Linked DNA regions of Astyanax mexicanus. The protein of the gene in region 1 interacts with the protein of each later gene in a biochemical or structural test. Links are inferred from orthologs where the notes say so. Each region holds a gene or a part of one and is shown in the gene's direction. Other genes may lie near its edges.

Region 1 (7,080 bases):
GGGGAGACACTGAAAAAAAATGGATGGGGATTTTTTAAGGTTTAATTTTTCATTCGTGCTGTTTTGAATATTTGATGATCAAAATTCTGACTGCATCCAGCAGGAATGCATTGTCAGAGGTGCACTGAAGGATATCCTTGGGCTGTCCTATTAATCTCTATTAAGCACAGACATGTCAGACAAGCCTGTAGGTGTGTGTGTGTAAGTGTGTATCTGTTTGTCTGTTTGCTGGTGTGGGCGTGTCTACATGTGTATTATTGGCAGAAAGATTGCTCAAAGATTGTTTTCATATTTAGCCTGTTACAAATATATAAGGGAATCCATATAATACATACTGTATACACTGACATACCTGAAGTACTGAGAAAGCATAATGATGTGTTACCTCAGGAGGTGGCTTGGAAAAAGCCCACGCCTGCATAAGTTGTGAGGTGTTATCTTGTGAACAAGATTCAACACTGGCCAGCATTATCATGGCAAAGTGATGGGAAGTATTAGAGCTTAAGTGAGGCCTGATAGGAGGTGCTGGATGGATGCGACATTCCATTTCCATTTCAGTTGTGCAAGCTTTTAACATTATTTAATCCGCAGTGTCTTCTTTGTACTGAGAGATTTATACATCATATAAATCATATATATTAACCATATATATATCTCATATATATATATATATATATATATATATATATATATATATATATATATATATATATATATATATATATATATATATATATATTTATAATATGACTTACAGTGAACAGTTCAGTGAGTAGTAATAATCATGACCAGTGGCATATGGCAAGAATTGTTCGTATACACAGACAGAAACTTCTATGATGTCTATGGGGGGCTTCCCTACTAGCCCACCACGCTCCGCAAAACCAGCAAGCTGATTGGTTGTTTCTCCTAAAAGGTGAAACTTTATCCATGAACTGGCTCTGTGATTAGAATGAAGAGTTTTATCATTCTCGCACGGCTAGTGGTCTGTCTCTTCAGTAATAATACAGCTGAGCTGAGCGAAACGATTCGGGGCTGCTGGAAAATTATTCGGGGCTAAAGCCCCGGAAGCCCAGTCCAGGCGATGCCCCTGCCCCTACTTATTTATGGTTTCTTTTGAGATCTTTTTTTAAGCAGCTGTCTACTGTCCAGGAAAGGCTTTCTATTAGAATTTGGAGCATTGCTGAGAAATTTGAATACATTCACTGTCTAGAGCATGCTTATTGATCTCCAACCCCTATACCCACCTTGTCACCAACTGTCCAACTCATCCCAAAAGTATTAGACAGAGCACCATCATTCAAGAGTACACAGTTCCACTGCTTTACCGCTCAGTGTTGAGGCCCCTTTCCTCCCTCTAGCCCATGCCTGATATTAGGAAAAAGAAAAAGAATCAAACAACTGGAAAAATAAATGAATAAAGTACAGTGACGGGTGGTGCAGTAGTGCAGCAGCTCCGGACACTGGGCATCTGGGGTTGTAGGTTCAATCCTGGCTCTGTTCACTGTCTGAAAGGAGTTAGGTAAATTCCCCCCGTGTCTGTAGATCAACTGCCTATTCTAACTTGCCCCTAGACCTGAGTGAATGAGTAATTGTGGTACACTGTAGAAGCTGTGTATGCCTGCAGTCGATGATCCTAGGTACTGCTGAGCCCATCTTGACCCTGACCAACCCTGAAGCAGACAGGAAGATGGATGGATGGCTGGATGAATGGAAGTATGATGACTTATTAAGGCCTGACATGCAATCAGTTAATGAGTTATTGTTATGATTTTACAGCCTCTAGCAAAAAGAAAAATGCCATTCAAAACCAAATGCACACTCCCACAGTACATTAACACACATGTGCATCAGCTTCTGGTCATTCTGGTCTATTAGATCAAATTCTATTGGACAAGTGGATGAGCATTTATCATTTCACACAGACAATACGCTTCAGTGCTGAGTCACGGATCTCGCTTTTGTCAGATTTCAGATGGACTTAGTATAAAACCACGGTACAATGGGAGACACTCGAGCGTGCAGACATCTGATGAATACTGCATTGTATTAGCAGCTCACAGTCTGCAGTGGGCAGAATGAGTTCTGGCTAGATTTGCTGTGTGAAAACTCCAGTGCTCGATGGATCCACCTGATAAGGACTGTGTTATATGAGTGGTTCCCTAGAACCCAGTTTTTTTTATCTGTCTATACTGTATGTGAAAGGAACTGTTCATGTGACAAGATTGTAGTTCCTGCCGAAACTTTGAGTATAATTGCAGTGTTGATTCATGGCTGGTTGCTTTGGTGCATCTGCTGGTTGCTATTGTCTTGCTAAGCGGTTGCTAGCTGGTTGCTGAAGTGTTGCTAGGTGATTGCTAAGCTGTTGGGGGTGTCCAAAGTTTGAGCATGGCTATGGTCGCTAGACTGGTCTGGATGCATGGGCTGGCGTGCCGGGGTGTCCAAACTTTTGAGAGCGCTTATGTATGCTAGGTTGCTCTGGACATGCGGGGAGTCCAAATGTTTGACCAATAATATCTAGTTTATCCAATAGCTCCTCCATACACACACAGTACTGGAGCGGTGACCGGTGTGCCGGGGTGTCCAAACTATTGACCAATATCTATATTGGACCATTGTTCTCTACTGGTATGTGAATGCATGTTAAGGGAGATGCCTTTATTGAGACGTTGATGTAAAATTGATTTGTCAATATAATACTGCTTATTGCACATTGCATATTCACAGTCAAAATTTTACATTATTTTTATGGTTAAAAAAAGTGTTACTGAAGTGCCCTCTAGAGTGGCATTAACAAAGTGCCCTAGTGGCTGCTTCTCTTATGGCGATGTAATAAAGTCCCTACTATGGCTGTCTTACAATAACTTATAATGACGTGCCCTATAGAGCAATAATATTTAATAATGCATCTTAATAAGTGTCCATCTATGGATGGACTTTTACCATTTCAATAGAAGAAGGTGCAGTTACAGAGTGTCTTCTATGCCATCCCTACCAGACAGTGTCCAAAAGGGATGCCCTGTCTGAAAAAAGGATGCAGTGCTGTATAGGGCACTTCTCCAGGTACCCAGAAAACATAAAAGTGCTTATTTAAAGGAGAATTGCACTACTAGTTGTTAATTTCTATAATTTTAATTTATTTACTTTTTATCATCCTTCCTTCATTCCAGCAGTCAATAGATACTGTTTGAGTACATATACATCTGGTGCAGCCAGATCAGGACCACGGACAGCACCCTGACTCTGAACTTCCAAAAAGAGATAAAAGAGATAATCTCCCACTGCTGAATTACATGATCCTAATGCAGAACAATGTAAAAGCAAAAGGTGCAGCCCATCAATATCATTTGGCATTGCTGTATTGCTAGGTGGCACTGTTTATTGGAATGGAAGTGTAGTGCTGGACTGCAGAACGATTTATGTGCAATTTCCTGCAACCTAATCTCTGCATATCAGATGCTCAGGAACACCTTTTCCTTACATAATATTCTCTGAAAGAGACAGTGAATCTCGCTCAGTGAATATCTGCTTTAAATCAAAACACAAGTCTTGCAAACTAAACCACGCTAATGCTTGCATCCATCATTTTGTTTAAATGTGACTTTCATAGCATCTAGGAGACGTTAGATAGGTAGCTTGCACGAGACTGTTACATCAACAATCTTGCGCGTGCACTTCTCTCTCTCTATTTTCTGAGCTCTCGCTCTCTTTCTGATCTCTCTCTCTCTTCACCTATCCCTAAGCTCTCTTCCTACTTCTCTACCTCTCTCTCTCTCTCTCTCCACCTATCCTTCTTGCGCTCACTCTGCATCCCTCTGTTTTCATCTCTCTCTCTCTCTCTCTCTCTCTCTCCTTCTCTATTTTATGCGCACACTCTGCCTGCTCTCTCTCTCCCTCTATGTGTGCTCTCTCTCTCTTTTCTGAGCTCTCTCTCTTTTCTAAGCTCTCTTCCTACTTCTCTACCTCTCTCTCTGTCTCTCTGTCTCTCTCTCTCTCTCTCTCCTTCTTTATTTTATGCGCGCACACTCTGCTCTCTCTCTCTCTCTCTCTCTCTCTCTCTCTCTCCCCCTCCCTCCCTCGTGTTTTTTTCTGAGCCACTCAGGCGCGCGCTCTCCGCAGCAGCAGAAGCAGCAGAAGCAGCGCGTGCAGGCAGGCCGCTCTTCCTCCTTATCATCTTCCTCCTCCTCAGCTCTTCTTCATCATCATTTGGGGAATTGTGCGTCAGGACTGTACGCTGAGCTTCCCGCGGACTTTGTATAATATTCGCCTTTCTGGAGGTGCGAGCTAACCTGCGCGCGCGCGAGAGAGAGAGGGGATTCCGGGCTCGCGCTTTCGTGCTTTCGCTCTTGCGCGCTGGACCCGCTGCATCCTTGCCTCAGTGGCTCTCTCGCTCACGGAGCGACATTGACTCGCGCTTCGCAACTTCGCACGGATTAAACGGGGAAGGGGGTCGCGTGCGAGCAGAGGAAAGTACAACATTATATATATACACACACACGGGACCGGAGCTGCACGGGCACCGGAGTGGCACGCGGAGGGGGTAGGGGGAAACTCTCCTTCCCTATATATATTCTTCTTCTTCTTCCTTCTCCTCCTCATCCTCCTCTCCTGTGGAATTAAAGCTACCTTCATCATCATCACTCTTCCGACTCTACCGCCAGCGCGCCTACGAGCACCTATACCCCCGTGCCACCCTCCTCCTCCTCTTCTTCCTCCTCTTCTCCTCTTCCCTCCTCCTCCTCCCTCTCTCTCTCTCTCTCTCTCTCTCTCTCCAGACCCCTCAGCTTCTCCTCTCAGAGCATCGCAATGCCCGCGCGCTGAGTCCGGCGCGGCTCCTTAAGCTCACCCCCATCCTCCTCCCCTGCGCGCGCGCGCACGGCGGCGGCAGCAGCATCAGCACCAGCACCAGCACCAGCCTCAGCATCATCATCAGCCTAGACAGCAGCGGCAGCATCAGTAGCGGCTGAAGCGGCAGTGGCAGCGGCAGTGGCAGCGGCATGGCTCCGTCCCTGCTCCTCGCCTCCAGCTGCCTGCTCCTGGCGACCCTGGCCACGGCCAAGGTGTGCAACGACTACACCGGCCACAGCGTGGACGCAGCGTGGTCGGCCAGGGACGTGCCCATCATGGTGCTCATGCCCATGAACGAGTCTGCGCTGATGAGCAGCATCAGCCAGGGCATCGAGCCCGCGGTGCAGCTCGCCATCCGCCACATCCGCGAATCCCGCAAGTACGCCTTCTCTCTCATCACCAAGATCTACGACACTGAGGTACGTGGGAGAGTGTTTGTTTCAGGGTCGTGTCTTGTGTGTGTGTGTGCGTGAGTGTGCGTACGCGCGTGTTGTGGCGTATCCCAGAGAGTGTGCGTATCCCACAGATCCAGCCAGGATCGTAAATGCGTGTAAATGCATACATAAATGGTCGTAAGGACGCAGTGTTGCAATGTAGCTCGTGCGCTACGTCTGTCTATTTTGTCTTGAAGCCCCCCTCAAAGCATCAAAACAATCCAAATACGATCATATTCATATGCCCCCTCCAATCAGGTGTTATATAGTACAAAAATAAAGCAACCCCCCTTCTTCACCACCCATCCCACGTGCACACAGCTCGTGACACCGTCACCCACCGCCTCCCTGCTCATTATGCTCATTATAGACAGGTAGAGCTCACATCATAGATCAGCCTGTAGTTGACTGACTACAGTAGCACTTTACAGTAGTAGCAGAACCAGCATCCAATCAGAAGCCCCGTATTTGAATGCTAATGCAAAATTCAAGGCTGTGTTATTCCTATAGCAGCAATACATTATGCAGCAGTTTCCATAGTGCGGTAAACACACTGGCTGCTCAGTCAGCTGGGAAAGGCAGCATGATGCTATTATAGGGGTCCAAGCACTTTTCCAAATATATTGTATATTGGTATTGTAAATACCAATAATAATATATGGATTGATTGATTAAGCATAACAAGCATATTCATCAACCTACACCCCTACGTTCCTTCACACATATTCTATAAGTCTTATTTTATGCTCCTCACATATAAAAAACAAGAACTGAGCTTTCCTCTCTCCTCACCTGGATGTGTAGATGTGCTTGGTTTCCTTTACACCTGAAGATGGCAGTCATTTGTTAGGGTTTCTCTGGCTGCATCTGACCTTAGCTTTTACAGCTCCTCCAAGGATATACAGGAATTGGAATGTAATTGCAGCCTGGACACATTAAGGCTCAAACTAAATGCTCAGGATCCTAAAGAGCAGTGTGGAAGACTTATGGTGCTCAACTCTACACTTTTTAGAACAGACTAAAGATCTAAAGGACATTTCAGTATTGTTTTGTTTTGGGATGGAAAAAGTGGATTTTATGTAATGGAACCTTTACACCAAATTCAACACATATTTTGCCATCTGTGTTCTGTAAACCAGGCTCACAACTTTATAGTTTTATCTGCATTTACTCACTTTAATTTACATCGTGCGTACAAGTGCTTACTACCAAGGGAAGCTATATATTTGTGGTTCTTTGTGAACGTAAACAGAATTGGATGCTTCAATTGATGATCCACCATATATTTGCACAGATAATTGCACAAGCTTGCACTTAAAATGTTTTGGACCATTAAAACGCACTTTTGAAGTTTTTTGCTGTAAAATTTGGACTTTGTGAAAAAGGAAGAGATTGCTAATTGGTCAGAGAGAATTGTCAGTTTAAACGATACAAAACAGGAACAGGATCTCTTCAACAGTTTTCATTGTTATTGTGTCATCACATATCTCACCACTGATAAGGGTAGTAAAGGTGTTGATGTCATCACCAGCTACATTTGTGGGAGTGGGGGATGTGATAGTAGAAAATGAAACAGATGTCAAGTCGAGTAGAGTTAAATACTGTAGGTAATTCAGCATGAAATGGACTTGGGGTGTAGTGAAACGTGATAAAGAGTTTCAACTTTTGTCAAATAGCGATCCTCCATTCATCTCAACTATTCCGAAATACATCGCTTTTAGCCAATGCTCTCATCGGGCTTACAATGCAAGAGATTGCTAGAAATTGCTATTTTTACACCATTAACAAGCCCAAAGTA
Region 2 (7,476 bases), on another chromosome or scaffold:
CAAGAATATTGTCATTTAAATATTAGCATTTATTTGCAGAAAATGAGAAATGGCAGAAATAACAAAAAATATGCAAAGCTTTCAGAAATCAATATTTGGTTAAATAACCCTGGTTTTTAATCACAGTTTTTATGCATCTTGGCATGTTTTCATCCACCAGTCTTACACACTGCTTTTGGAAAATGTATGCCACTCCTGGAGCAAAACTTCAAGCAGTTCAGTTTGGTTTGATGATTTGTAATCATCCATCTTCCTTTTGATTACATTCCAGAGGTTTTCAATTTGGTAAAATCAAAGAAACTCATCATTTTTAGATGGGCTCTTATTTTTTTTCCAGAGCTGTATGTTAAAATCTGTTAATACTACTAAAAGGTGCAGTGCTGAAGTGTTACCTTGCCATGCTGAAGAACCACATTAAAGACTGGGCTGCTGGTTCCTAGTAACCCGACCCCCAGTGTGTCCAGCATCATCCTCTTGCTTCTCCTGATAACTCCATCTGTCAGATGAGCTGCATTCAGCGATGACACAGCTGCACCGAAGCTCTCTGTAACACTCTGTAAAACAACCAAAAGTAATTTTTTTAAAAGTCCAAACTAAAGACTACTTTCATCCATCAGAGCTTTTTTTTATTAAATGAAGCCTGATTCAGGGATATATATTTTAAAGCTGCAAATTAAAGTGGTATATTTGTAAATATCTGTTCAAAAATATCTGTTTATACCTTTCGCAGCATTGTGTACTCAAACAGCTGAGCTGTTACTGTGAGGTCTGACAACTCTGCTGCCATTATATACAGAGCTGCCCCTATAAGAACTGCCTCACCAACTTTCCAAAGTGAGCAAACCACAAAAAAACACAGCGCATGCATCAGAGAAGTACACTATTGCACAATGACACCATATAGCTGACCACTTAAGAAGATGTTTTTCCTTACACACATTTGCACAAACATGCAATTAAACTGAGAAAAAATGAAAATAAAAGCATGTAGCACAATACATTGTTGTTTTATGTGTAGTGTAATTATACATACAAAAATTCATTAAAATCATTCGTTTTTGTCTTTATTTGCTCATTGAGAATTCCTGAGACCAAATACAGTGTATAGCTGAAACGTACATAATGTTTTTATTTCATACTTAATTAATAAATGTATCATATTTTTTCAGTATAATTAAGTTCATAGAAAAGCTGCATAGATTTAAGCCTTAAAGGGTAACTAAACTCGCTGATTTTAGCTGACTCCGCCCTTTGAAAACTGGTAGTTTGGGGGGGCACTGGGTGATGTATGGGTTTAGGGGTGGGGCAGGAGGAAGAGCTGATTGGGCTGAGTGCTGTGCCTCCGATAGTGGTGAGAAATGGTTAGACGTCACCACGGGAGTGGTATTATTGTTGTTTCAATTGCATATTGTGTCTGTCCAAGAACCAAAGTATGCAAAAACATAATCCTCACTTATAGCACAGTTAAACCTGAGAGGGGTGTTATAGAGGCTTAATAAAATAATAAAAGAGGCTCAATAAAAATGATTTTTAAAGTTTAGGAAAAGTTTATACAATTTTTAAGCAGCTTTTGTACGTTTCATTACTTCAGAGGAACACATTTCAATTATTAATTTAAAAAAAATGGTTTAGGGTTTAGTGCCTCTTTATCTCCAAGCCTTATTTTCATTTGCAATAAATTGTATGTGCGCATTTAAGAAATTGATTATATAACAGTATTATCAGGCTAAAAAAATTAAACATTGTGTGGGAGCCATAGGAAAAAGTGAATTGGAAAAATACTTCATGTGGAAATGAGCCATTTAACTGGGTTTATTCAGCTTAAATAAATGCTTTGAACGAACCATTGTTTGATGCAAAGTATTAAATCGAGTCTAATTTGAAGAAAAAAACTCAGTTCATTTGCTTTCATGTGACGTAATTATGTTTATTTAATTAACAAACTGTGTTGAACATCAAGAACATAAAGAAGAAGACTTAAGTAAGTGTATGTATATGTGTGTGTGTGTCTAAAACTATTTCTTAAGAGGTTCTGTGGTCTATAAAACCGCACACATGAGGGTTACATTAACCATGTCCACATGAAACACATCCTCACATGGTACATTTTGCAATACACAATATTCTCAGTTCACTGTCTGCCACATGTGGAAGTAGGGTCTGGAATTTTCAGAAATTGATGATGTGTGGAAATGAAACAGAACATATGGGTGTGAGATCTACATTAGTACAACAATGAAATTGTTCTGCTATTTTCACTGTTCTCATAAAAAATGATGAACTGGGAGTTTGTGATTAGCTGAGTGAAAATGAAAGTTGGTTTGATATTACACAATACTATATTGTGAAAGGAAAAAAATGCCTGTTGAACTGTGTGACTATAGAAGAGAACAAGCAATTTAAAATAACTTTTGTCTACACTGTGGAATTTACATTGGAAGTCATTTAAATCAGTTGTGTACTTACAAATTTAAGTTGAATTGACATTTTAATTGGCAATGGGCTGATTATCAGCTGATTAATTGCATTAATTGCAAAGTGTGTTTGGAAAACACAGGGAAAATATTAGAAACTCCAGACAGAAATATTTATATAAAGGACAATACCAAAAATATCAGTTAGCATTGTTAATAAAAATGTAGCCCCTTCTACATGCCAGAAATTACCCGGACATAATCTATATGCCCTGGCATAAACACAGGTGGTTTAATGTTTCTTTGATGTTGGGGACACTTTGGGCAAAGCCATTACATTCTAAGAGAAGAAAGATACTTTATCTGTTAAACATAATGGTGGCTCATTTTTGACAGAAGCAAATGTCTATACTAAAATTTAATCTTGCAGCTTCTATATGTAAAGATATATACAGCTCTGGAAAAAAAAAAATAAGAGACCACTTAAAATTATGAGTTTCTTTGATTTTACATAATTAAAAACCTCTGGAATATAATCAAGAAGAATATGGATGATCACAAGCCATCAAACCAAGCTGAACTGAATGTATGCATCAGCAGTGGCATAAAGTTATCCAAAAGCAGTGTGTAAGACTGGTGGAGGAGAACATGCCAAGATGCATATAAACTGTGTAAAAAACAGGGATATTCCAAAAATATTGATTTCTGAACTCTTAAAACTTTATGAATATTAACTTGTTTTTTTTGCATTATTTGAGGTCTGAAAGCTCTGCCATTTCTCATTTTCTGCCAATAAATGCCCTAAATGACAATATTTGTTTGTTTGTAATTTAGGAGAAATGTCAGTAGTTTACAGAATAAAACAACAACATTCATTTTACTCAAACATATACCTATAAATAGCAAAATCAGAAAAAACTAATTCAGAAACTAAAGTGGTCTCCTATTTTTTCCAGAGCTGTATATTATCTTGAGTATCACATTTTGAAAATCGCATTAAAACAGTTAATTAATTTGATTAAACTCCCAGCTCTAGCTTGGTCATGCTGGTCATACTGTACAGCCAGCTTGATTATGTTTAACATTCTTAGGTTGATTATCTTTATAGCTTGATATAGATATCTAGAAAGATACAGCTCAATATGAGGAGTCTATCTGCTAGCATATGTATAGGCATGTACACATATTTTTTGCTTACAATGGGTAAGTTGTTGCACTAGAAAATATGAGGCATTTTAGACATAGTAATAGCAGCAGAATTAACATTAAATCTTAAAGTATATGTAAACATACCCTATGTATGAGCTAAGATGACCAACAACCTAAACCAGCTTGACTAAGGTACTGACCAAAGCATGCTTTAGACTTAAATATAAATTATACTACTTAAAAACATAATTTAACCTAATAATGCACCCCTTTACACTCTTTTCTGAGATCAGCAAAAGAAGAAGGCTATTTAGTTTTGCTTTCATTTCCTTAGTGGCCACATTATATGAAGAAAGAGAAGTGAGGCCTGACCTTAGTGGGATAAAAAGGAGTAACTGAAATTTCACAACTTTCAAGAAGCGGGCATAATAATTTTGTGTCCGTTTTTTAAATGTTTGTGAAAATTGTGAAATACTTCACACTTAGCAGCAGGTGGCGCTCTAACCTTGCAGATCTGCCTAATGTTTGCACACTGCCTGCGCAGCCTGTGGAGAAAAGGCTGTGGAGACAGTGCTCCAGGAGCTTTACTAGAAACTAACATAACATTGATGAAAGTGTTCAGAGAGACACACAGCGTTAGAACAGCTGTATTTATTCATGGTGTGTTTGACTGACGCTGTGTTTGATACTGTGATAGAGAAAGGGGGACTGTGTGAGAGAAGAGGTCTATAGAGTCAGGAGACCCTGAGCTAAAGAGAACCTTGAGCCTCCAGCTGCAGGTCCTTAAGTGAACTCAGTAAAGGGAACTGACTAACGACTAGACTATCATCTCCCATCACTGCCCATCATCATCCACAGCAGCAGCAACAGAAGCAGCAGGAACAGAAGAAGCAGGCTAGCAGGAGGAAGAGGAGGAGCAGGAGAAACAGAATAGCGGGAAGAGCAGCAGTAGGATAAGCAACCGCAAGGGGAGCAGGAGAAGTAGGAGAGCAGGAGGAGTAGAGAAAGCAGGAGCAGTAAAAGCAGGAAGAGCAGAAGAAGCAGGCTGGCAGCAGGAGCAGCAGCAGGAATAGAAGAAGTAGGCGAGTATGAGCATAATGGGCAGAAAAAGCAGGAGCAGGTGAAACCAGCTAGTATAAGCAGGGGGTGCATGAAAAGCAGAGGAAGCAAGAGGAACAAGGCAGCAGGCTAACAGGAGCAACAGGAGGCTATAAGGAGCAGGAGAAGCAAGCTAGCAGGAACAGGAGAAGATGATGAAGCAGGAGCAGAAGAAGCAGAATCAGGAGAAGCATAGAAAGCAGAAGAAGCAAGAGCTGCAGGCTAACAAGAGCAGGAGGAGCAGGCTGGCAGGAGCAGGAGAAGCACAGGAAGCAGGAGTAGCAGAGGAGGCAGGAGAAGCAGTCTAGCAGGACTACAAGAGGCAGAGGAAGCAGGAGGAGCAAGACCAGCAAGCTAACAGGAGCAGCAGGAACATAGGAAACATGAGCAGGAGGAGCAGGCTAGAATAAGCAGGAGGTGCATGGAAAGCAGAGGAAGCAAGAGGAGCAAGAGCAGCAGGTTAACAAGAGCAGCAGGAGAAGGCTGGGAGGAGCAGGATATGCAGACGAAGCAGGGGCAGCAGAGGAAGCAGAAGCAGGAGGAGCATAGGAAGTAGGAGCAGGAGAAGCAAGAGCAGCAGGCAAGGAGGAGCTGCAGGAGGAGCGTAGGAAGCAGGAGCAGGAGAAGTAAGAGCACCAGGCAAGGAGGAGCAGCAGGAGGAAGCGTAAGCAGTAGGAGCATAGGAAGCAGGCTAGGAGGAGCAGGAGAAGCAGGCTGCATTCTCCTCCCATTCCCCTCTTTCTCTCTCTCTGCGCTCTCTGTTTAAACACCCCTCCTCTCCCCCTCCCCCCATCTTCATCATCTTCACTGTGTTGAGTATTGAGGGAGGGGAGGGTGAGAGAAAGACCCTCAGCAGCCCCTCAGCCGCTCAGCAGATGCAGCTCAGCAGCAGCAGCAGGTTTTGAGCTGTTCGGTGCTGGAGTCGCGTGCGCACTTGGATACGGGAAGCTAGGATACTACTGGGAGAGTACTGGGACAGCTGGAGGAGCAGAGATGGCTCTAGCGGACCCGGACCGCGGCGTGACCAACGGAGGAGACTCTCCAGCCCCGTTCTCTGAGATCATCGAGCTGAACGTGGGCGGTCAGGTGTACGTGACCAGGCACAGAACTTTGGTGTCGGTTCCGGACTCTCTGCTCTGGAGCATGTTCAGTAAGAAGACGCCCCGCGAGCTCGCGCGGGACAGCAAGGGGCGCTTCTTCCTGGACAGGGACGGTTTCCTCTTCCGCTACATCCTGGACTACCTGCGGGACCTGAACCTCGTGCTGCCCGACTACTTCCCGGAGAAGAGCCGCCTGCAGCGCGAGGCGGAATTCTTCCAGCTGCGCGAGCTCTCCAAGCGCCTGAGCCCCCGAGTCAGCAAGGAGAACTCCATCAGCGAGGACCTGTCCCACATCAGCAGCGACTGGGACGAGGCTCCCGGCCCGGGGGGCGCCTTGCTGCCCCCCTCCACCTCCCCGTCTCCCTCCCAGGAGAACAAGAAGTCCTGCGGCTACATCACGGTGGGCTACCGGGGGTCCTACACTATCGGGCGCGACATCCAGACCGACGCCAAGTTCAGGCGCGTGGCTCGGATCACCGTCTGCGGAAAAACCTCCCTGGCCAAGGAGGTGTTCGGGGAGACCCTCAACGAGAGCCGAGACCCCGACAGACCCCCGGAGCGCTACACCTCGCGCTACTACCTCAAGTACAACTTCCTCGAGCAGGCGTTCGACAAACTCACCGAGTTCGGGTTCCGCATGGTCGCGTGCAGCTCCACGGGCACCTGCGCGTACTCCAGCAACGAGCCCAGCGAGGACAAGGTCTGGACCAGTTACACAGAATACGTGTTCTGTAGAGACTGAGACTCAACACTGGCACTGCTGTAAATAATAGCCTATAGAAATAATACTAAAAAAAAAAAACAGTCACTCACAGACTGCAGCTTATATAGCTCCCTCACATCTGTAGAGTAACATCTGTCCAGATGTTGTTTAGACAGCTTTACATTTCTTTATACTTAAGGTGACAGTTTCACAAACCTGATCAAAGAAAATCCAGCTGATAATCCAGAAAAAAATCAAATATATGCCTGCTCAAGAGATAGATAAAGAACATACCCAGCATACACACACAAACATACAAAGCTGTATGTTTGTATGTTTTTTTGTACCAGTAAACATTATAAACATTATCATCAACAGAATATGTGTCAAGAACTTGATGATCCTAAATTGTCTGGCTTTCAAATGAAAAAAAGTATAATTAAAATATATATTGTTTATTAGTACAGTGATGACGAATGTACATTTTGCCTGCTTAAATGGTACAAGTGTGTACTTTCTGATGTTAGGAAAGACTTTGTACTTCAGAGGGAACACATCTGACCCTGTAAAGACCAATATTATACCTCTGATGGTACAATTATGAAAAGTGTACCTTTAAGTACCTCTGTTTTTTAGTGTGCAGCATAATGTATGTTTTCTCTGGCTAACCAGCTGGATTTTTTTATCAGGACATTGTTTAAAAAATATTCTGCATAGTTCATAATTAACTCGTCAATCAGAGTGGGTTGGTATGAAATGGTCTGTGCAGTATAAAATTCTCATGTTGTTGTTGGTGGTGGTCATTCAAACATGATTTAACATATCTCCAATAGGCTACAATGGTCAGGAATGCACCGAATGTCTGCTAGAATGGTAAAATGTTAAAGAGTTCAATAAATATTTTTTCATTATAAGACCAAAAAATGCATTTACGCTATTTAATTTTTGTGAAGATGATAAAAGTATCAAAATGAATGAAATTCTGCAAAACAGAACATACTTTGTATTGGCC

The links. The genes of interacting proteins can lie anywhere in the genome.
Region 2: the proteins of gabbr2 (region 1) and kctd12.1 form a complex in vitro, tested with the Homo sapiens proteins (2 studies listed by BioGRID). The link is inferred for Astyanax mexicanus from reciprocal best matches to the Homo sapiens genes GABBR2 and KCTD12.

The regions. Positions count from the first base shown.
Region 1 is NC_064410.1:47,770,234-47,777,313, reverse strand, and holds the start of gabbr2 (gamma-aminobutyric acid type B receptor subunit 2), read left to right. Parts: upstream 1-4,073; 5' UTR 4,074-4,997; coding exon 4,998-5,267; intron 5,268-7,080. UniProt on the Homo sapiens protein: Component of a heterodimeric G-protein coupled receptor for GABA, formed by GABBR1 and GABBR2. Within the heterodimeric GABA receptor, only GABBR1 seems to bind agonists, while GABBR2 mediates coupling to G proteins.
Region 2 is NC_064418.1:28,739,542-28,747,017, forward strand, and holds the start of kctd12.1 (BTB/POZ domain-containing protein KCTD12.1), read left to right. Parts: upstream 1-4,416; 5' UTR 4,417-5,654; coding exon 5,655-6,503; 3' UTR 6,504-7,476. Other genes in the region: acod1 (cis-aconitate decarboxylase), read right to left, coding at 393-554, 722-733. UniProt on the Homo sapiens protein: Auxiliary subunit of GABA-B receptors that determine the pharmacology and kinetics of the receptor response. Increases agonist potency and markedly alter the G-protein signaling of the receptors by accelerating onset and promoting desensitization.